Arabidopsis thaliana: one gene and its partner. The protein of the gene in region 1 interacts with the protein of each later gene in a pairwise test. Each region holds a gene or a part of one and is shown on either strand. Other genes may lie near its edges.

Evidence for each region.
Region 2: the proteins of AT1G75880 (region 1) and MEB2 interact in a two-hybrid assay, tested with the Arabidopsis thaliana proteins (one large-scale study listed by BioGRID).

What each region holds. Positions count from the first base shown.
Region 1 is NC_003070.9:28,484,326-28,496,855, reverse strand, and holds AT1G75880 (SGNH hydrolase-type esterase superfamily protein), read right to left. Parts: upstream 6,408-12,530; 5' UTR 6,293-6,407; coding exon 5,983-6,292; intron 5,686-5,982; coding exon 5,552-5,685; intron 5,466-5,551; coding exon 5,232-5,465; intron 5,113-5,231; coding exon 4,857-5,112; intron 4,752-4,856; coding exon 4,558-4,751; 3' UTR 4,392-4,557; downstream 1-4,391. Other genes in the region: AT1G75890 (GDSL-like Lipase/Acylhydrolase superfamily protein), read right to left, coding at 1,809-1,990, 2,092-2,347, 2,517-2,750, 2,857-2,987, 3,508-3,892; AT1G75870 (uncharacterized protein), read right to left, coding at 9,742-10,098, 10,184-10,324; AT1G75860 (DNA ligase), read left to right, coding at 10,873-11,193, 11,694-12,012, 12,108-12,530.
Region 2 is NC_003076.8:8,259,782-8,272,311, reverse strand, and holds MEB2 (Vacuolar iron transporter (VIT) family protein), read left to right. Parts: upstream 1-6,563; 5' UTR 6,564-6,693; coding exon 6,694-6,922; intron 6,923-7,080; coding exon 7,081-7,743; intron 7,744-7,847; coding exon 7,848-7,901; intron 7,902-8,099; coding exon 8,100-8,279; intron 8,280-8,423; coding exon 8,424-8,485; intron 8,486-8,576; coding exon 8,577-9,041; 3' UTR 9,042-9,180; downstream 9,181-12,530. Other genes in the region: SS1 (Glycogen/starch synthases, ADP-glucose type), read right to left, coding at 1,452-1,610, 1,701-1,740, 1,838-1,893, 2,002-2,110, 2,320-2,444, 2,696-2,785, 2,880-2,942, 3,033-3,124 and 7 more; GMI1 (gamma-irradiation and mitomycin c induced 1), read left to right, coding at 10,911-11,246, 11,341-11,373, 11,465-11,551, 11,805-11,860, 11,932-12,015, 12,269-12,341. UniProt on the Arabidopsis thaliana protein: May sequester excess cytosolic iron and manganese into endoplasmic reticulum to reduce metal ion toxicity. Not essential for the accumulation of ER body components, including PYK10.

The DNA of each region.
Region 1 (12,530 bases):
ATGCTAGTTAATTAAGACTATGATATATCGGCAAGGCTACTAGAATGTGAAATTTAATTTAATGATTCACACAACCATATTATCTTATCTCCCAACCACTATCTAACATAATTATGTTTCTTCTATAAACATGTACAAACAAAAAATATATAAATATCTTCAAATGCTTTAGGGTTTATCCGTCTTATATTGCTTTTCATCTTTTAAATGAATATCATACTACATTAATTTGTAGATAGTTGCAATATTTATAATTTTTCTTTTACAGGCTGCCAAAAAAAAAATAGTGGATTAAAATATCTTAAGTGATTTTGTTAAATTAGAAGAAATGTTTGCGATGCATGCTCAAATAATATTTTAATCCGTAGGAAAAGATTATAAAACGAGCAATTTTGATATACATAAAACAACGATATTATAGATGCTATACTATGTCTATAGTATTCACAAGATAGACCATGTACTATCGTAGTTGAATTCATATATAGTAATAACTCGACAGCGAGAAATTCGAGTAATGACCAACTAACTAGTTCCATGTATAATGAAGACCAACGAAACCAAAAAATAAATTGAAGGCATTTGTGTTTTGAATTCGACTTGATAAGCATTCATTATTGTTTTTGAAATTAATTTGATCATTTATTAGTGGGTCCAATATTACTCACAGACTTAATAGGTCAAGATTTTGATCCTATCGCGTGGTAGATAATTTAGAGTGAGATGGTTAGTGACTTACTCTATTACATTTACAGCCAATTGTTTCATATACTAAAAATCAAAATGTTCGGTCTTAATTTTATTTAGTTTTACCGGTAATGTGGGTGTTAAAGAATTAATAGGCCGAACCAGTCGTGACAAATGGTGCATGGCCTAATAAGCTATCTTCAAGTTTAGATATGTGGTCGAAACAGAGCTGTACCTATATCTATTTTTAAGGTACGTACATTAATCAACTTTTTAAAAAAATCTATATCTTTTCATTTGACCTAAGTTTACGATTTTCTTATATAACAATTTTTTAGGGTTTTTTCTCGAATTAGTAAAGCAAACAATTATTGAAACAACAGCTAATAATATTATGTCTTTTTAAAAAAAAAAAATGTCTTCTCAACTCAATATCTCAAATCAGCTCCATCGCTTGAATAGGCTCTTTCAAGTTTCAAGTTTCAACTTGACCTTTTCTTCTTTCTCATTGAGTGGGCTCTCAGCTCTAGGCCTCTCGTTCAACCTCCTGAGTTCAAATTAGTTCTTTGTTGTTGGGCTATATTGCCTTCGATAATTGTGGGCTTTCTGGTAACAAATAGGTATGGTGGTGGGTAACTCCTACTAGCAACGTACCAGCATTTTAATTTCGGTAATAGCCAAATTTTACAAATTTATACGCAAAGTTATCTTAATTGTCTGGAGATGGCACACAAGAGATGGGCATTGGATCATGCCGCAAGCGATTAACTGTAAATAGTTCGACGTAAGAAAAAAGAAGATTTACAGGCATAAGAGAAAGCAAACGCACCGAGAAAACATCCAGCAATTTGCAAACAGCAAAAGAGGTGATAGTTCAAAAAAAAAAAATCATATCAATCATTTTTACTTATCTATTGTGTCACATATTATTAAATTTTGTAGACATTTTTCAAACTTTTTTTTACGACTATAGTTTTTAAGGCTTCTCTCAGTCGAATGGAAATTGTCTCAAAATACATAAATCATATTCTTTTGGAAAAACATTTCGAGGTCACGTCTAATAAGATAATAAACATCAAAAGACACGATAAATCAAGCTATGACTTACACGATTGTCGAGATCATACATATCTCTCAAAATATTTTGTGGCCATAATTCTGTAAGTCTTCTCAGTCGGATGGAAACTATCCCAAAACACATATTCATCTCTATTTGGACATACATCAGCTGCAAAGTTGTTGCATAAAAGAGCAACTTCAATTAGTCCAGTTCCACAACATCCTTTATCAACCACCTTAAATCCTGTTACATTAATGAATGACATACAATTTCAATAACTTTTTGATAAAATGGAAATTTTAATTTGAAAATTAATTGTTTATATTAATACGAACGACGATTACCATATTGTCGAGGGTCAAGAATGATATCAAGGAGAGAATCATATATGTCAACGTAGATTATTGTCTTGTCTCCTAAAGTTCTTGACAAAGAACCCAAATTTGCAGCGAGCTTAACATTGTAGAGCTTTGTTGCATCATTGAACCTAACAACACAATTTCTTGTTGGCCCTCCTGCTAAGGTTCTCTGTGATGGGACACATCCTACTGGTGGTGCACCGAATACTTGTATTCTCCTCGCTCCATATTCATGTAATTTCTGTGAATACCACATCATTCAAAAGGTTTAGAAAGATAAAAAGGGTAAAGGTAATCAAAGCAAAATATTAAAATTTCTACGTCAATAATAAACTCTTACGACAAACGTGAGCATTAAATTTGATACTATATAAATAAGGAGATAGTTCATTAATTATTTTCATACGTACTTGAGCAAAAGATCGAGCATTGTCGGCCATAAGAGTGGTAAAGGAAGCGACGTCGTATTGTTGTTGAACAGAAGGAAGACCAAAGTAGGTGTTGGTTATATCATTACTGCCACATATAACCATGAACAAACTGTTTTTAATTATGAGCTTTGTCCTTTCTTCCCCAACCATTTTCTTCATCTTCTCTACATACTCTTCGAATAACTTCAGTTGCTGCGATAAAGCTATTCCTCCCTTTAAGAACAACAATGGTTTATATATAAAAAGGTACGTCTAATTACAGCTTAGAAGTAATCATATTTTGTTTTATAGATAGTGTAAGATTTAGAAGTTTGATTACCGATAATTGGGTTGTGAAGGGAACGTAACCAGCACCACCAGACGCAAATGTTACACCGGTTAAGAGATCTTCTGGTTTCAAATTTGGATTTCGATATGCCGGTATACTTGGTTTAATTCCGAATTTTCCCGCTATGATTTGCAAGAGAAAATAACTATTACCAGTTATATAAATTTATATCATTTGTCCTTAATTTCTTTGATGTTTCGCTTTTGAGTTTTTATATCTCAAGAAAATGACACATATTGAAAACTTGGAAAAAAAAGAAAGATCATTTGTGTAAAATATAATAATTTTTTTTTGTGATGGTACCATTTTCTGGAGTTTTTTTGTGTACCATACGTATATCTTTAGTCAATAATGTAAATTACATACATATTAACAGTTTTAACACTAGTCAGTCACTTAGATATTATTCAGCACTACGTACGATACAATAAATGACTTTTATATAAGTTTTTTGTTTTGTTTTTTTATTGATAAAAGGTTTTCTATAGATTTTTTGTCTCTTTTCAGTTTACAGGCTTGAGAAGTTTTCAGAGTGTTCACAAAACACAAATGCAACTAAAAGTGTGTGTTTAGTTGTTATCTATTGGGGAAATTCTCGAAATATAATCAAAATTACATCTGAGAAAGCAACGTGAAATTTACCTATAAAATCAGTCGCAACTTTGCCGTTGCAAAATCTTCCGGTAGGAATTCCACCGTCAAAATCGATGCCGTAAGGAGGATAATTGCATCTAGCCAACGTTGTCATAATGTCGTCATTATTTCCGGCATCAACGATTGAATCTCCGAACACAATTATCGCCGGAGTCGTTTCGTTTGGCGGCTGCTTCACCAAAGCGTTGGTGGACGTCTTACATAACAACACGAGAAAGAAAACACACCAAAACGGACTCGAAGAAAAAGAAGTAACGTGATGAATATTTATACTGTTTCGTTTCATTGTTACTCTTTGTTTCTTTGGAAGCTTTTGGAATGATGAGTAAATATATATATGTAGAGCTTGGATCGACATGTGAAAATTTAACATATGAGGACTTTTTATTCAAAATGGCCAATAGTCAAGTCTAGAACATTTAATAACGAACTAGCTAGGTTAGCATCGTAAACCCTTTTTCTTCAACTAAAATAAATTTTGGGCATAGTGAAATTACTATATTTGTCAAAAAAAAAAACAAAAAAAAAAGAAATTACTATATTTGTCAATAAGTTGTCGAAGAAAAACATTAATTGGCTAATTGCTTTCGGGCCTGCGTCATCAGATTTAACTGGGCCTTATACATAATTTGTTTTTGTCAACCTTGGGCCTTATGCTTAATTACCACCTCTCTTTTTTTATTAAAGATATTTATTATGTAATTGTTTATTTGTTTTTGCCTCTCTTTTTGATTTCCTTTTTTTTTTTCATATGTGCAGTGCCAGTAAGGCTAAGCTCCATCAGGACTGTGACAAGTGATTTTGAGGGTTATAATCAATCTTTCTCGTTGAAAATGGAAAAAGAACAAAAATTGCCTTTGTGAAAAGAAAAAAAAGCATATAAAAGTATAACCTTGTATATATATAACCATCAAATATCATAAGAGACCATTACAAGCCTTGAAAAAGAGAAAATTGACAGAAGTGTAATTCTCTCTTTGAGTTGAAATGATTATTTAAAAGTGTATGGAACATGCTAAGAAATAGGAGCTATATCGATTAGAAGAATCTGTTGAGGTATCTATCCAAAAGCTTTGCAACTATAATTCTGTAAGCTTTTTCAGTAGGATGAAAACTGTCCCAAAACACATAATCAGATCTTATGGGACATACAGAAGCTGTATAGTTGTTGCATAGCGCAGTAACTTCTATTAATCCGGTTCCGCAACATCCTTTATTGGCCACCTTAAATCCTATAAGATTCATAATAAAGATATATACACTTTTAATCTTTTATTATAAAAACAGATTTGGGATGTTAAAAATATGTTGAAAATAAAGTAATAATGATTGATTACCATATTGATGAGGGTTTAAAATGAGATCAAGAAGAGGACTATAGATGTCAATATAGATTATTGTTGGGTCTTGTAGAGTCCTTGACAAGACATCAATATTTGCAGAGAGCTTAGTATTGAAAAGTTTTGCTGCATCATTAAACCTAGCAACACAATCTCTTGTAGGTCCTCCTGCTACGGTTCTCTGCGAAGGAACACATCCTATTGGTGGTGCACCAAATACAAGTATTCTTCTTGCTCCATATCCATAGAGTGTCTGCCACCACATAAATAAAAACAAGTTTTAATAAAGACAACATTTTACTAACCTTATTCGTGACATTAGTTATTGCCTTATTACCAACCTTACAAGTTACAATTGTAAATTGTCTTTACCTGAGCAAAAGAACGAGCATTGTCGGCCATAAGAGCGGTGAAAGAAGCGACGGTGTAGTGTAGCCGGACCGGGGGGAGAGTAAAGAAGTCGTTGGCGATATCGTTACTACCACATATAACAACGAACAAGCTATTCTTGATTATGAACTTTGTCCTCTTTTCTCCAACCATTTGCTTCAATTTCTCTATATATTCCTCAAAATATATCAATTGCTGTGGTAAAGGTATTCCTCCCTTTAACAAGATAAACAGAAATTGTTGTTATTTTAACATAACTTCTTTAGATAAAGTTAAATTATGCATAGGTACTCAAAATTAACTACCGCTATTTTGGTTGTCAAAGGAACATAACCAGCACCACCAGAAGCAAATGTTACACCGGTTAAGAGCTCTTCTGGTTTTAAATTCGGATTTCGATATGCCGGTATATTGGGTTTAATCCCTAGCTCTTCCGCTGTAAAAACAAATGAGTTATGAAAATTATAATATAATTATTAGATCACTTCTGATATTCTTCTTTTTTTGTTTTGTTTAAGTGTTTTACTATTTTTGAATTATTATAAAGTGGCAACTTTGTGTGCTTAACTTTATTGTACACCATTTTATAGAGCAAGAAAATCAAACTAGTCACGGACTGCAAATCATTAATCAAGTTCATGCATTCGATAGATATAGCTATCCAATAAAAAGAATGCAAGGTGTAAGACTACAATGAAAATTTTAATGAAAATAAAATTACAGGCAAACTAACCTACAATATCACCAGGGACTTTGCCATTAGAGAATCTTCCCGTAGCAACTCCACCGTCAAAATCAATGCCGTAGGGAGCATAATCGCATCTAGCTTCTGTTATCATGTCGTCGTTATTCCCGGCATCGACAATTGAATCACCGAACACTATTACCGCCGGAACGGTCGTGTTTTTCGGGATTTTCACTAAAGCATTTGTAGTACTTGTCGTAGATAACAGCACGAGAACGAAAATACACCAAAATAGTATCAACGAAGAAGAGAGATAATAAGAAATGATGCGATGATGACCAGAACGACATCGTTCCATAGTTGCTAATTACTATGACGTATCGAATTCGAGGTAATGTGTTTGTGTGTTAAAACTTAAAACAAAACACAAAAAATATTGCTTCTTTAAAAGCTTGGAACGATGGATGTAAATAGTCCTCCTCTCGTTTCCTACGTAGATATTTATATATCCATATATGTCTACGTGATTTGTATGGTTTAGTTGTTGTCATTAATTGAAGACATTGACATTTTTTTTGTCTACATGTTATTTTAATATCTAAGTACGTGTTATGGTTAGAGGATCACACTTTTTGATAATTAACAATGTACTTTTGGAAACAAATGCCAAAAATCCCTATAAACTTTGTTTCACACTTATCTGTTTGATTGAAATATGAATAAAGAATTAATCCTCCTAGGTTTTTCAATATCCAACATAATTATGCATAGCCTTTTCTTAAAGAAACACAAAGGTTTAATGGGACGTATATTAGTGTCCACCCACTAATTTAAGTCTAAACTAGTATATAAGTATGTATTTATATTTGAAAATCGATCATAAATGTATGTAATGTATATGATTGTCCTTCATTCAGTCAATTGTAATTTAAGATTATAGTAATATATATGATTGTGCTAATAACCAGAAGAGAAAAAATGATTGTTCATTCAATCACATGGACTTTGATTAAGAAATTAGTATATAATATTATCTAGTAAAATAGAAAAAATGAATCATCATAAAATGTAAAGTTGTTACGGATTGGCAATAAAAGCAAAGGATAACTAACTTCACGTACTGACTGTTTTAGTTTATTTCACTTCCACATTGGAGTGAAATTGAGAGAAGCAGATGCTGTCACCTTTTTAAAACATTTCACCAATTGCTTTTTAAGAAACTGAGACTGAATTTTAAAATACTGACACTTCCAGTTTTTGTACAAGTATTTCCTATATTTGGTTGTTACAGAGCCAATTAAGTCTTGTAGATCGTACAATTGCTCATACGACTAAAAATATATATACACAGGTCTTATGAATTGTAGTTTTATACCAAAAGATGTGTTTGTTACATTATATACTATTACCAACGTATACTAATGTTTTAGATTTTTTTCTTACAAACTAATGTAGTAATGTTTATTAGTTTCTATATATAATGATAGAGTAGATACTATTACTAATCTATCAACTATTCCCCAAATAATTGTCGACGTCCCCACGTGGTTATGCTCTTTCAAACTCTATCAATGTCTTCCCGATATAGGTGTTAACATCGGTATTAAATGAGATAGGACCCATAATGCCACAATCTGTTCACCGGTGTAGCAGTAAATGCAATTTGAGTTTAAGAAAACACATTATGAAATAAAGACTTCAAAATTCGAGAAAATGAACACGTAAAGTTTCCATATATATATCTTCTCAAAACAGCTATAGAGCCTAGAGATATATAATCATATAAAAGCCTAAACATTTAATTAAAGTACCCGTGATAGCTATCGGTACCGGTTTAAGGACTTCTTTTCTTTTTCGTTCTTTTCTTTTCCATATACAAATTGGTAGTTTGAACTCAGAAGAACGTGTAGTGATAAGTCAAAAGTTAATTAAGCAGTTGCAATGCTCGATCGTATTCATGAGTCACATTGTTTTTCATCCATATTATTTGCAACAGAAAAATCCATAATACTGTCTTTTAAAATATGAAGTATTAAGATTTTCAAAAAACATTTCAATAGCTTATTTTGATAAATAAAGCGGTTGTAAATTTACATTATACGGTTTCCAACCGTCTTGTTTAAGGTCCTAACCGCTTTTTCAATTACGTTACTATGCTATCTAATTAAAGCTAGTACTTTTTTTTTCTAGCAATATTAATCAAACAAGCTAAGCATAGTCCTGTATAATTTTTTTTTTATAAGAATGTAAATATTCATTCTCCTGTTTAGGCATAGTCCTGATTAATTGAATGCCGAGAAATTCTAATTTTTTAAGCTATGGTCCGAAATAAAATCCGAAATGATTATTAAGGTACAACTTGTAAACGAACAAAATAATACTTTTTAAAAATGAGGTAATGAACAAAGGAAATGATTCGCACTAGCAGTACGAAGGTAAATTGGCTCCAATCCTATATTCAAATCCTAGTATAAACGATCATATGGTAAAATATGTTTAACAAAATACGGCGATTAATCTAAGTGATAATATAACAATGACATTCACACAAATCACTTATTTTCATATACTAGTCAATAAACTATATGAAAAAACAGAAATTAAGAGAATAGTATTAAATGATACAATCACATCCACGACGATACAACAATTAACAGGTGCGCATTAATTCATGTCTCTTTCTCATTAGATCAGACATATACCGAATTTTGTTCTGTTCCTTAATTAAGAGATCAACTATGCGTAGTTGCGTACTCATCTTCGCGACCTGATTTTTTATGTCGTGCATAGGGACTTTACTTTACAACGAACCTATACGGTGGTTTTAGTTCGAATACTAAACATTGCAGCACACAGTTAATGTTTTTGCAAGACGTGACTAAGTTTTTATCCACCTGTCCACATGTGTTTCGCCTTGTATGATCGTATCCACCCTAAAACCGGCACCAGAAAACTGATTTCGTAGGGAATTTGAAAAAATTGGTCGTTTGCGCGCTCCTTTGTTTCCTTACCTTTGCAACAACTAACCATATTGTCCATTAATCTTAGACAATCATTATAAGTTTTAACTAATGCAACATTTGTTATTATAATTATACTAATTCTTGATTTATAATCATTAAATTATATGGATTGAAACGAGAAAAAGTTGCTAGTCCCTATATATGGATCAGTTCATATCCTTTTAAATGTTTGTACCAAACCACTAAAAGAAAATTAGTCGTCAACATTTTCACGTATACTAAACATAAAGAAAAGAAAATGTGTCGGTTTTTCATTTCGAATCCTAAATTTTTTCCCGTGTGTGTATGTCCAATTAGAAAATTCATTACAGCTTATCTACAAACATACAAATCATATCATTACCTATGTGCCACTAAGAAGTCTTCATATGAACTTATGTCTAACTATAAAAACTGAAATTTTTATCATCTTCATTAATTGTGGAAAATTAGCAACAATTTATCATTGCGATAGCTTTTAAATATTAGGCTTTCAACCCCATCATAATATGTATTAGGTTGCATTACCAAATTGTTAAATAATCTTGAAAAAGAAAAATAAAACGTAGCATGGTTTACATTATTCATGTTCAAAAATAAAGTGCGCATGTAACAAATATATATATAGGCACTAAAACATATAACCGAATGATATTATCAAACATTTTCCCTCTCCCCTTTATAAACTCAGATGTCTAGGAAGTGGGTACAATGATAAACCACACCGAGTTACATCATGATGATGTCATCTTCACACACACACATGCTTAAAAAACGTCACAACCTCAAATCCCGACTCATTCTTTCAAAGACGGCGTCGTTTGCACAAACGGGTTCTTGCTGTGTCTACAACATCGTCACCATTATCACCAGTAGACGACTCAGCCTTCTCTGCCATTTCCCTCACCCCCAGTCGTCTCGTCGCCCTTTCTCTCTTTTTCATTTCAATAAGTCTCCCCGCAAGGTCTCTACACAAGTCCGTTTTCTCATTCGTCATCTTCCTCCAAAATTCTGCTTCTGCTAACGCTTTTCTCGTACGAATCTCCATTTCTCCACATTGTTTCTTCATATCTTCGATGACTTTGTCTTTTACCCTCACACAAAAGATGGCTCTCTCCTCGAGACTTCTTAATTGACCATACAATTCTCTTGTCATCTGGTTCTGCACATGCATGAATATTAACTATAAATATATGTTGATGAAAAACATAAAAATATCATCGTAATATATAAGAACAGATCAAAACCTGTAACATATGGTTAATGTCTTTTGCTTGTTGATGATATGGAGCAATCAAGCCTAGAGGAATTGCGGGATTCTGTGGGAGTGGGGCATTTGCATTAACTGGTGTTACACTCAGAGACAACTTCGTTTGGGTTTCTTGCATCTTTGATAGACCAAAAGAAGAAGAGAGAGTCTCTTTTACAAATGTAGATGCAAAGAAATGTGTGTGACGAAGAGATTATAATACCCTAATCATCGACGTTGCTAGTGTATTGAACTTATAGGGAAAATCAGAAATGTATGAAACATAGAGACGCGAATGTTCAGATACAACAAACGCGTTTGTAAGAAACTGATGAGATACAACTTCCAAAACCAAGGCATCGTTTCGACGAGAACGGGCCTTTTAGTGTTTCGGATACATGTGGGCTTTTAAGAGGAATTCTAATGCCCAATAACCAAAATTAGGCCTATGTTTCCATCTTGTACTTATTAGAGAAAAAAGTCAAGGGGTGAAAAGGTCTTTTAGAAAAACCGTATCAAATATCGGAGACTCGGACCGAGCCAGTAGTCGTCTATGTAATTTACTAATATACCCTCCACGATATTTGATTAGTGTTTTCCTTTTCTCTAATGTGAACTTACGAAAACACCTTCAATGTGACCGACTTTCCCGAGTCGGTGGATCTCAACTCTCAAGCGTCTATAAATATGGACCTTACCCTTCACTTTTTTTTTTATTCACCACACGCGCTTAGCTATCTTCTCCCCCTCACTGTCTGCTCTAGGTCGAGATTTTTTAGGGTTTATCTCCGGATTTGGGTTAGCGAAATCGAGCTCACGGGGTTGTCTCGATTATTCCTTTTTAGGTTGCTTGAATCTGAAGCTAATCTTGGGTTAATTGGATTGTTAGAATCGAGACCTAAATCCTTCGATTGGATCAGAGAAAATATGTCGCGCGTTCTCACTTGCCCACCGCTTGTGTTTGCAAGAAACCACGTTGGCGTTCAAAACTTGGTCGAATCGACTAAGGTTCGTTGAGCTACAGATCTGGTTTCTTGCTTCAGTTTTTTTTGTGTGATTGATTTCTACGGATTTCGTAAAACCTGATTTTGGATTCGTTTTTGGGGAAACTTATTTCAATGTAGTAATCTTTGAATTTGGGTTACACTTCTTGTGGGTATGGCTATATTTTCATAAGTCGTATTTTTTTCTCTCTGAAACCCTATCATGTATAAATCTATATAAGCTAATTATCATGTGATTATCATTAACACTATATAAAGAGTTGCATATTAGTTTTCAATAATCTCATCATGTGTTCACTGTATCAGCAATCATTAGGAGTGAATCAGGTAAGTTGCATTGTTTTCCATTCTGTTAGTTTGATTTTGTAGGTCTAGATATGTATATGATTAAGTTTGTAGGAGCTTCTTTGTTTATTGTAATGGTTTTTGCACATTGAGTGGGATGGTTGAACTGTGGTTCTGAAAGACGTGGAGTCTAAAACCCTTTACTCTAATGGATTAAAGCTTAAAAGAATCACACTTGATTCAAAAAAGGCGCACCGGATAGAGAAGAAGGAAAAGAAGGAGAAGAGAAAAGAAAAGAAAGAAACTAAGCGTGAGAAATCGCATAAACATTCGATTAAAGCAACTGATAATCATCACAAGCTAATATTTCTTCCTTCCAAGAAAGTGTCAGATGAGTCTGACTCACTAGAGAAGAGTGGTTTGACAGATGAGCTTGAGGAACCTCAAAAACACCTTGGATATTTGTCTGATGGAAGTCAGAATAGTAAGAAGAGGATTAGAGATGATTCTCCTCCGGCTGTTGAAAGTCTCATCAAAGGTTTGTATCTATTTCTTAGTAGACATTCAAGAAGAAGATCATGTTGATATCTGCTTTTAGGTTATTTACATGTTTATTTTCACATGTATTTGCAGCTGCACCTGTAGCAGGTAAACCTCTACGGATTAGAATGGTCTTCAAAAAACCAAAGGAGGAAGTTCCTACTCTGCCTAGAGAGGCTGTTGTTTGCTCCACTACAGTTGCAAAGTCGCTCAGTCACCAAGATGTCATAACAAGTTCTATCTCAAGTTCAAAAACATCCGAGCTTGAAAAGAATCTGCCGTCAACATCAATAGCGGCAATAGATGAAACAAAGAAGAGAAAGAAACACAGATCTAGCAAAGAAGATCAATACAATGCATTGTTTGATGGTTGGACTCCTCCTTCCATGTGTATTGCTGATGCATCTTCAAATGACAATGGTGATTATTGGCTATTTGGGAACAAGACGCAAGAGGTGCTTAAGCCCAAAGCAGCAGTCAAGGTTGATGATGACACGATGATGAGACCGGGAGATT
Region 2 (12,530 bases), on another chromosome or scaffold:
TTTCTCATAATGGCTATCAAATCCAATATATAAAAGATGAAAGGAATTTTTAAACTTTATTATTTTGGTATTTATTTATTTATTTATCAAGAGAAATAAAATTAATTAACTAAGAGATAATGATGTGTTATCCTTGTAAAACTGTATTATCTTAGTATTTATTTTTCTATGAAGAGAATAAAATTAATTAATCAAGAGATATTGATGCGTCATCGCTAAAGAGACTTCCTTCATTATTTTTATATAGGGTTCCGTACTTACTATTAAATTTCTTATATTTTATTTTCTCTTTATGTTCTTGGTAACCTTTTATATATATATATATCTCTTTTTTTTTTTAAGACATGTTTTGGTTTTACTGATTTCAAACATATGTAAGAAGTTAAATTATAATATTAATATGTGTCGCATTGTCGTTAAACTACATAAACATATCAAAACTATGTATATTAAGAATCCATTATAAGTAAATATTATTTATAACCCAGCCAGTAGGTTGGAAACTTGCAGTCACATTGTTTTAATCATCTCTACTGTAATTCTGAACTTTTTAAGTTTTTTTAAAATGGTTAGTTATTTTAGGATGTGATCTGCTAAACAAATATATATATAATTTCACAAATTCAGAAACTTGTATTGCTTCTAGACTGAATTCATTAAAACTTTAATTTAATTGTAATTATTTGTAGGAGGAATTTACATTCAAGTTTCGATCAACTGATGAAATTGCGAGGCAAAAAGCTCTAAATTATGTCTATCTTCTTCCAGGTACGTTATCACAATCTAATGGTTATGTTGAGCCAAAATAAACTATTTGTTATTGAGAAAATTTTAAACAATCGTGTATATATATTTTTTTGTTAGGAGTTAGTTCTGTGACATTTTGTGAACGAAGCAACTTACTAACCGTGAAGGGAGAAAGAATCGATAAGGCTAAAATAATGAGGAAGATAGATAAGATTTTTCAACCTAAAAATTCGTTCTTTTCGTGTTTTAGTCCCAAATACTAGTACATGGTGTTTATTTTTGATTTTACATTTATAAGAGTATTTGGATTTAAGTAGTAGTTTTCTGATCAATTGTCCCTTTTAGGAATATTTTCTAGAGAAGTGTTTGGTTTTTTATAAACTTAAGTCATATTAGTCTACTCGTATAATGTCTTATCAAAAGAAATCTAGTTCAGATTCAGATAATTAGGAAAAGAGTAAGACACACATGTCATAACCGAAAGAAAAACATATTATAACCTCATAACTAAAATTCTATACCTCCCCAAAACAAACACCATACGAGTTTAAGATAATAGACATAGATAGATACACGGTTTAATGTGGAAACGTTGAAAACCATAGATTTTCGATAGCCGGAAAAGGAGGTTCCACACTCTCCATCTGATTGGTCAGGTCTGGTCTGATCCGGTCCAACTCGGTTTGGTTCAGTTTATGTTTGGTCTAGCTGACATAGGGAGGGTCCATGAAAACCCACTGAAAAACTTGCTCATACTGAACGGCAGCGTTTTCCCAAGAGTAGTTTCGGGTCATTCCTCTTCTCATCAATCCTTCCCATGACTGTTTATACTCTCTGTACGTTGCTGCAGCCAACCTCAAGGCCTGAGATGTATGTAACACAACAAGGTCATATACCCACAAAAACCATAAACCACAAATCCTCTTGAGAAATGGGGAGTTAGATAAACTTACCGAGACCATGCTATCTTTCGACAAGGGAGTGAAGACCCACCTGAAACATTAAACCCACAAAAGAACGATTCATAACAACACAAATCATTTGAATTTGATGATTTTTTTCCTTTCTCAAAAACAGATTTGTTTATTACCCTGTACCAGTACCAGCTCCACCTTCTGCATAAGGGTTGAAATTCTCAACCGTATCCTGAAAACAATCATGATCCAGTTATAAATCATTACCCTTTTAGTACCAAACTATTCAAAACAATTTGATTGTATTTATCCGGGTTCTTGAAGATTTAAAGAAACTCACTCTGAGTCCTCCAGTGCCATGAACAACTGGAATGGTTCCGTATCTCATTGCGTATAGCTGATTTAAACCACAGGGCTCGAATCTCGACGGCATGAGAAGAATGTCACAGCTGTTTATCGATAGTTTTCAAGACAAACAAACAAAAACAATCCAATGAGATATTTGTGGCACTGTGAAGGTTTTCTACAACAGTTCCTTTATATGAATCATATGATAATCCATAGAATAGATCTCCCTGGACAAAGCAAAGATTCTCTATTGATTTTATCATGTCTTCTGGAATTTTTGAAAGTCTAAGCTAGAATGATTTGTTTTTACCCGGCTGTGATTCGATGAGAGATGGGGACATTGAACCCAACCCAACCACGGAATTTGTCTCTGTATGTTTCCTCCATACTTCTCATCCAGCTTTCATATTTTGGGTCACCCGAACCAAGCATGACCTGCAAGCAACCAAACCACATTAAATCATATCAACAAAGATATCTCATAAAAAGAAACAACTCTCTTTGACTGAAAAAGGAATATTAGAATGCGGAAAACCACTACAGATTCCAGTAAAATTTTCCAATTCTGCCTCAGATTTAAGAAATGTGCGAAAACAGCTACTAAATACAGGAGATGAGAAATGTGTATCACACATGTCACTGGTACTGCATGTGTTCCAGTTAAACCGTTCAATAGACTCACTTACGAATTGAATGTCATCCACCATGAGATCAGGACCAGCGGTTTGGATCAGATCAATGCCCTTCTGGTAATCAAGTCTTCCTATAAAACCAATCTGTAAAAAGTATTAAAACATTCAAGCTACATGAGTGATTATAAGACAAAATAGAACATTTCTTATAAAAATAAAAGTGGCTTTGAAATATCACCATAGGACATTCAGGCCTAATGGGGAGACCCAATTCCTTTTGTAGTGCCATCTTGCATTTGATCTGCGATTCCCAAAGCAGATACAAAAAGTGAATTCCACCATAACAAAGCATCGGATTTTGGCACTTTTACTCAAGAGAACTTCACATCACCTTCTCGGAGACATCATCAGCAGAGTAATGGAAAGGAATGTGTTCATCCGTGGATGGATTCCATTCATCAACATTAATTCCATTTGTGATCCCTGTAAACATCACCGGAATATCAGCTCAGAAAGATGTTTTAAGTGAAAGATTATAAAAGTCGGGGTTTATAGAAACAAGTACCATTTATAACACTTTTCCGACTAGAAAGCAAATCTTGAAGACCATAACCACCTTCAACAGTAGTGATTTCCCATGCATAGCCCTGAAAATACAGAAAACAAATCCCAATCAGAATACCAACCCACACAATGTCAGAATCATTACCGTAAGTGAATGTGGTCATTAATATCAGGGATTATGTTTACAAAAGATTCATCACCTGGCTCACAGTAATGATACGGTCAGAGGTCACAATAGCACCCTTGAGAACATTAACCGCTTCACCGGTGTCAAGGGCATGAGTTCTTGCCCACGTTGGAAATACCCACCCGACTGCTCCATACCATTCCGAAGGCAATCCCAAGTTGGTGTATGTAGCTGCTGGCTCCACCCCCTTTTAGGAAAAGAGCCAATTTATGAAATAGAAAAATAACCTTTCAACTTAATCAAACACAACATACATAACTAACTAATCACAGTAAGCTAACTATGGGGCATTATACGAAACTTACAACTATATAAAAACCAGAAGAAGAGATATTACATATACAGGTCTGGAAAAATGTTTATGAATTTACCTGATGAGCGAGGTTATGGATAATGAGAATGCTTCTTGCATCCTTATAAACTCCATATGGGCGATACTTTGCGGCCAAAAGTCTGGAATAAAAGAAGATACACGATATAAGTTTCAATGTCCACAAATCAAAGCAGGATTCTGCACATCCGTTAAAAGATAAAGCCTAGAGTATAAGGTAAAGAGATCAAGAAAAGGTTACATGGGAACAAGGCCGGCATGCCAGTCATTGACAAGGAAGAGTGATTTCTCTCCATAAGTGAACCCTCCAAGAGGCAGCACGAGAGGGGCTTCACATGCAGCATGGCAAAGTAACGTGAACCGAAACTGTAATCAGAAAATGTGTGAGACGACGCACTTTTGTTGTTTTAAGTAGACCACATGACTTAAAACATAACATTTACACAATAAAAGAAAGTTATAATTATAAACCAAAGTCTTTCTTTGGACAATGTCAACAGTAGTACCTGATTGTCACCAAAGGCTCCTTTACTATCTCCGTAGGGATTACCAGGTCTATGGTAGGATTTGTGATCAACAAAAACCTAAAGACAGTTTACAAAAACAACACAAAATGTTAAGCAATGGCGTTTGTCAAAACTCCACAATAATTTATGCTAGAAGAGATTAGTGGTTACCCAATCAACACCATCTCTATACTCATGATAGAAGGAAACTTCTTGAGAACCACCAAAGCAATTTACTGTTACACGTATCCCCAAATCCTTAGCCCGGGCATAGTTCTTGTCTGCAGCAGTTCCATTTAAGTACCGAGGAGAAATGACCATAACACGATGCCCACGACCAGCTAAAGCTATCGGCAAAGAACCACAAACATCTCCTAATCCTCCTGTTTTCGAGTAAGGAGCCGCCTCGGATGTAACGAAAACAAGGTTATTGACAACTTCAGCTTTTCCACTCGGAATCCCAACCTCTGCAGCTCCTTCTTCAACAGCTCTATTTCCAGGTACGCCAAAGTCAGCCATTACAATTTGATCAATAGCCTCTTTCTTCTCTTCATGATGTGTAATTTCTCCTGTGCTAGTGCTAACTGTTTGTTGATCACCTGTACAAGGAAAAATCGAGTTCATCTTCGAGATTCTGAGCAAAATCGTGCTACTTTATATCAGAATTTTTTGAATATGAAAGATTCTGAAATTTGAAAAACGTAATAGCTTTGAATCTGAGGACCACAAGCAAAATTCAAGAGAATCATTCACTTTTTACAAATTGAAATCACATTCGATAAACCATCACAAAATCCCTAGATTATGCACAAATCAGAGAATAAATCACTGTTCGTTGAGGAAATTGGAAGAAACACTATGAAGAACTCAATCACGAGTTTAACGACATTTACCAGGAGGAGTGAGCTGAAAGCCAAGAACGGAGCCAGAACCATCTCTCTCTGCGTCTGTGATAAATCTCTCTTCATCAGACTCACGAGAGTCACCGGAGAAGGAAGAAGAACGACGAAGCAACAATGACCGTCCGATACTGAATCTCCGTCGAAAACGAGGAAATCCGAGACTGGCGATCGGACGGAAATGGCGGATCCGGTTGAATCCAACGAACGGCTCGAATTTAACGGAGCCACTGATTTGAAGAGACGCCATTGATCAATTAAAGAGTGAGAGTTTCTTCGACTGTTACAGATTTATGTTTGATTTCGTCTGGTTGTTGGGGAAGATTGAAACCACCTGTGGCCTATCTACTACGTAAAGAATCTCCTTCCAGCTTCGCCGACATGCTTCCAAAACTTTAAAGTTAACCACAGAGAAAGAGTACACTAAAACCTTTATTCTTTGCCAAAACAAATTTTTTTTTTTTGTTTGATATTTTAGTATGAAACAGAATCAATTTTAATTTTATTCCTTAAAACACATTATCATTTCCATAAGAGTCATAACCAACATAAATATGTAAAAATTTCGAACCAACAAAAATAATTTCAATAGTTGCAACAAATATTTTCTGATCTATGCAATTTTTGCCTTTGGTTTTATAAAATTTACTCTCCGATATTTTAATGGTTTTATTGTCCCAAGAGGATCTATCAGAAAAGCGCGAAGATCAAGAACGAGTAAAAAAAAGATCACACACTTCTTGCCGAAATTGGAGCCTCATATTGTGCCACGTGTAAATTAGTGGGCTCCAGTTTATGTGTTCCAGCTTTATGGTGATTTACTTGGATTGGGCTTTTGGTTAATTTTATGGGCCGATTATTGTGAATGAAATATATAGGCCCAAGAAACAAATGTCTAATGGGCTTCATAATAAATAAGAAGTCATTAACTATACACGTTTTGAATATGGTTCGTTGTTTCCAACTAACTGTAACGTTTCCCACTTTCCTCGTCATTATGAGTTATTAAAGAGTTGACTACTAGTATTTTTATCATGTGATATTCATTTTCTGTAGTAATTTATTTTACGTGGTATCATACTATCACAGTTTGTATTTATTTAATCAATATTGCACCTTTCGTATTACTTCTAATATTTTTTAATCATTTAAAATCATTTTTCTAAAACCTTATGGATCAATTTCATGACATATACTGATGACAAAAAGAAGACATATACTATACCACACAATTTTTTTTTTTTGTTTTGAAACTGACATATATTAACATGTTTAAATAGAGTGCTAATTAACTATGACACCTTCCCTAATTACCAAAATCCAAAAGTAATCCTCGTTACGAATATTTAACCCCTCGTGCTTCCCTCGTGGGTATTATTTATGTATATATATAAAAGATCATATGATTGGACACGATAATTAGGAACAACTGTGTTTTTTTTTTAAATTTAAAAAAGAAAAAAGAAGAAAAGAGAGAGAGAGACTCACAAATCATAATATCTCCTTCATTAACTCATAATCACTTTAAAGAACATTGGAATCAGATTCATTACATAGGGATTGATATGGAAAAGTCAAACCAACCAGTTCATGTAACCTTGTCCGAATTGAAGGACGGAGATAAAGAAATCGTTGATGCTGAATTTTTGGTTGATCTTCTTGAGAGCTATAGATTTGGTAAAGATAATGTTCCCGCCCGAGAATTTCGATCCAAGGCGGCAGCGACGGCTCCGGCGCCGGTCAACACCACCGAGATAGAGTTGGAAGAGGATAATGATGGATCTCAAGCTCAAGGTACATTAGTCAACTTGTCAGTTTCTTACATGTTTTTTTGTCTTTTAATTTTTGGTACCTCTACTAATTGGTTAGGATCCTAATTTTTAACCGGACACAAACCTGCTTAACCGGTAGATCAATCTCTCGTTTATTTTTGGTATTAATTGCCATCGTAGGTAACAATTCTGTTAGTGAAAGTACATCATCGCTATTTTCCGATTCAGATCCAATAGTACTTGAGAGTACTGTGAGCGAAACCGGTTCAAACGAAGAATCTGAAACCGGTTCAAACGAAGAAAATGGTAATAATTGGTTAGAGTCGAGCTCCACAAACTTGCCAAATGTAGAGAACAAAAGGCAACGGAATGGAGAAGATTGTGAGATAGAAGAGGAAGAAGAAAATAACGAGAGATCATTATCGGATTCAGAAGAGAAGTCAAACCTAGAGAAGTTGCTTGGGACACAAGAAAACTATGAGCTTGGAAATGAGGATGAAGAAAAGAACGAGAGATCATCGTCAGATTCAGAAGAGAAGTCAAACCTAGAGAATTTGCTTGCGACACAAGAAAACTACGAGCTTTACTGTCCTAGCTGTAGCACATGTATCACCAGAAATGTGGTTCTCAAGAAAAGAAAACGAGGGAAGCACGTTAATTCATCTCTGGATCTGAAACCCGATATACCGGTTGTTGAACCGGACGAACCAAGCGACATTGAGGAGATGGAATCACCAGTTAAGGTTTATGTCCCTGAGACTCGGATTGAGGATGATCAAGAAGATAAAGAGGGAACTATCTTTACTTGCTTGGTTTGTGATCTAAAGTACTTCATCCGGTTAGGTAAATCAAACCTTAATTAAACCGGTTCTGAGTCAATTCTTTCCAGGTTTTCTTGGTTTTGTAAACTTGATGGATCAACCCTGGTTTTATATTTTAAATTTCAGGAACAAAGTTCTTACAACTTGATTATATCAGGGGAAAACCGGTTGAGAAATCAGGTATGTTATCGTGAATTGAAACAAAAATATTACTCCTCTCACCTAAACCGGACTAGACAAATTGATTTCAATTTGGGAAAAAATCAACAACGGTTTCTTTGATCATAAAAAATGTTTATAGGCTTATCTTTGGTATTTGAATATTCGATAGAACTACATATATTTTGTACCCAAAGAAAATTTGCAAACTATATGCAGTTGAAGAATATATAGATGTGAGGAAGAGTATAAACACCACACAATCACCACCACAAATTCAACCGGACGGAGAAAGATTCGCCATTGAGTTGTTAAAGAGCACCGTCTACGGCGGTCTCACTGAGACCATCACCAGCCTCGGCGTTGTATCATCTGCTTCTGCCTCTGGTTCCTCCACCAGTAAGTCTCTAGACTCCATTTTCCTTTTAGTTAGCAAACAAATGCGAGATTAGTTTATCGGCTATCTAATCATCAGATTGGTCCTTGTTATAAATAGTAACACTATATAATAATTTCGTCTATTATTTTTTGTTGTTGTTTCAGTGAATATATTGGCTCTTGCTGTCGCAAATTTGGCCGGTGGGCTCATCGTCCTCGCTCAAAACGTAATTACTTGAACCAAAAAACGTTTTCTCGTGCCACAGATTGCCTATGGGGTTTCTTATTTTAACCGGTTCGGGTTTTTTTTTATTGCAGTTTCAAGATCTAAGAAACAGTTCAGATCAAGAGAAAGATAGGTACGAGGAATTGTTAGGGAGACGTACTAAATCCCGGATACATATCTTAGTAGCGGTCATGTCTTACATTTTCTTCGGCCTAATTCCTCCGTTAGTTTACGCATTTTCCTTCTACGAAACCGGAATCAAGAACTACAAGCTCATCTCGGTTTTCTTGGGTTCTCTGGTTTGCGTAATTTTGCTCGGTTCGATCAAGGTCTATGTCCGAAAACCAACCAATTCATGTGGATCGACTAAAGCTTATCTCAAATCTGCGGCTTATTATACGTCTATTGTTGTTGCTTCTTGCGGAATCTCATACGTTGTCGGAGATATTATGGGAGAGTATATCGAGAAGCTCAGTTTGGTTGGTTTAGACCAGATCAGTATAACTTCACCATGTTATGGAATTAAACCCGAGGAGTGCCGGTTTACTTCCTTTTAATATACAGTGGGACTAAGAACCGGTCTGACCAACGTTGTATAATTTCTGTTCTAATTACTTACTAAATCTCTGTATCTTTTCTAGTAAAAAATCAAAACTAATGCTTTCATAGAATAAATGTGTTTTGAGGTTTTTCTTTAATGATGTCTTATCTCTTTCCGAATGAAATAATCGGAATGATGCGGTTTAACTGCGGATAAGATACAGTAAAATTTAAATAGTAACAAAGATATGGTTTCGTCACCATTCAAACTATGTGTATAACAATGTCAAGCTCCATAGGTATATAAGATTTGTATAATTGTAATTGAGGAGAGATTTTGACATGTTATATTGTTAGCCATATACAACAACTTTTTATATATTTAACCAGTTAGTTAAATCGTTTGATTCATTAAAAAATGAAATTTATTTATTTTTAGTAAAAAAATAAAAGATAAAGATATCTTTTGATCAATAAATACAGTCCACATATATATCAAGTCAACAAAATAAGATCATACTCCCAATTTTTACTCAAAATATAATGTAATTAAATGCTAAAGATATAAATGTAAATACAATGTTTTGGGTAATTTGATGTGACGACAAATAAAAAGAAGAAAGTATTAAGCTGACGTGTGATAAAGGAAGTGCGTGCGCCCGAAGCTTTCACACCCATTACACATTTTACTCTCTCTCACAGAGTACACACTGTCTCTTCCTCTTCTCTACTCTTTCTTCTTCCTGTTTCTCTGTCGTTTCTTCCAAACAAAGATTCTTTTTTTTTTTTTCCTTCTGGGTTTTAGAAACAGAGAGTCACTCTAAAGGTAAAAAATCACTCCTATTGTTTCTTCTTAATAAGGATTTCAGATAAATTTTTTTTCTTAAAAAGGTCGACTTTTTTTTCCTGGTTTCGTTTTTTTTCGTTGATCTCAGAGAAATGTGTTCTGCTTTTTAAGTGTTCTTTCTGATTTTCGTATTACTATGATTTAAAAACAAAAAAAATCTAAACTTTTCTCGTCTACAGCTTCCCAAAAGAAAAAAAGTGAACTTGGTTTTAATATTGTGTTTATTTTCTCTTCTTCGTTCTGATTCAGTCTTATTCTTCTGTCAGATTTTGTCTCCTGGGTTTTTTGGGAGAGAAATCAGTCGACGAAGCTAAGGTATATATACTCTCTCTCTCTCTGATTCTCTGTGTTGTTGTTGGTGGGTTTTACTTTACTGAAAATCGAAGCTTGATGTGGAATTGATTAGCAACTTAAACCCTAAGTATTCGTTTGTCTTAGGTTGGAATAAAGTCTCTGTTTTGCAAATACCCAATTTTTATTCCTGTCCTGTCTTCTTCCATATCATTGCAGTGTATCTAAATGCGAGTTACTTACTATATCGTCTGTATCTTCTTCCATTTCGAGACTCTCTTTACTTAAATTGCTGCTTTTTTTTTAAGAAGCCTATGCGTTTGTTATTGATAAAGTTGTAGCTTTTCTTCACGATTTGGCCTGTTACATTTTCATGTTATATGCAAAATTCTGTGTACATGCGTGTATGTTTAGTAGAAGTGTAGAACAAGTACTAGATTGATATGATATTCATAGCTTAAATCTGTGAATGCCTTACACAGTCCTTTTGATTTTCAATCGTTTAGAGGCAAGGAAGAAACAGTTTGTACTTTTGATGCAGCAGTCTTTCTTGTAATTGTTGTAGGTTCGTTATAGTAAATCATCAATAATGATCTAAAACCATTCAATAGCTGTGAGACTAATTCAATTAGAGTTCTTAGGAATCAATAATTTCCATGTTTAGCTTCCACTGTAATCCTTATCGTGCCTAATTTGTAATTCAAAAAAGTTAATCAGTTTCATGGTTGTTTCTGTCTTTGCATTTCAGATGAGCAGCAGGCGATCAGTGAAGAGATCATTGGTTCTTGATGATGATGACGATGAGGATATATTCTACAACTTCAAGGTCCTTCTACCTAATGGCACTAGTGTGAAACTCACACTGAAAAACCCAGAACCGGAGATCTCGATGCAGTCTTTTGTCAACTTGGTGAAGAAGGAGTATGATAATGCACGAAAAGATTGTCTTTTGATGTCTAAGAGGATGAAGGTTGATTGGAACTCAGGCGGAAAGTTTCATCTGGAGTCAAATGGTGGGAAGATGAAAGGCATTGTTCGCTTTGCTGCGTTTAAGCCTGACTTGTGCCACATAATACGTCTTGATGTGAGTTGTTCTTTCTTTGTTCAAGTCTTTGTCTCTTTTTGTTCCATCTTCTTATTTCTGATATTTTCTGCCTCAATTTCTATGTATGGGTCAGGACGGTTCTGGTATAGCTTCCACCATGTATGAGGTCAGTATTATTCTTCTGAAACATATACGCTTATTATCTCATTGTCTCCTTAAGTTGGTCTGTGATGATGGTTTACAATTGTTTTTTGCAGAACTTGTGGGATTTGACACCGGATACTGACCTACTTAAAGAGCTACCAGAAAATTATAGCTTTGAGACAGCTCTCGCGGATCTAATAGTAAGTGTTTCAGTAAAATTACCTGCAAAGATAGAATGCCTAATGCAAAATTTATGTTTGTTTGAGGCAGCTTTCGCGGATTCACATTGTTGTATTTGCTTGTTTGATTTCTGAAGTAAATACCATGCGTTTCACATTAAACGACAATTTTTCGCAAGTGGATTCACTTACTCTCGATTAGTAACTAATTTTGAGATTATTTCTCGTTTATTCCTGATATGGAATCCTAATTTTTCTGTTGCTTGATTCACAGGACAATTCCTTGCAAGCTGTGTGGCCTTATCGTGAAGGAGCTCGAAAACTGATTAGGTTTGTTTTTATGATAGGAGGTTAAATGACCAAGATTGAGTGTAACCCTTCACCTCATGTGATTATTGCAGTGTGGATATATCTGGTGACCATATTACAGTCTTTGATACCGGGAGAGGAATGGACAGTAGCGAAGGAAACTCTATTGATAAATGGTGAGATTGTTTCTTCAATTTCATTCAAATGCTAACAGAACATAGAAGATATTGATAACCTGTTACCCATATGATCGCTAGGGACGGCTATTGGGTTATGATTATGAACTGAGAAAATTGTTCTATAGAACAAACAACTTCACATATTTTACGTATTGAGATTGATATTGCAATCAAGTGTTCTTTACTCAAATTGATACTGCAGGTTTGATTTTTTGGTGAACATTCTTCACATTTGGTTTAAATTATGCAGGGGTAAAATAGGGGCCTCACTACATAGATCTCAAAAAACCGGTGCCATTGGAGGCAATCCACCATACCTTAAGGTATTTCATTAGTCTCAAAGAGCTTAGGTTCATTTCCTTCTTGCAATTTTTAACTTTTGTGTTTAAAATATTAGACGGATAGTTAAGTACTTTCAGTCAACATATGGATGACTCTGTAGACATGTTTCAGTATGAATGTTCTTTCTGTATAACTACCTGTTATCTTACTGATTTGAAGAAAGATTTACT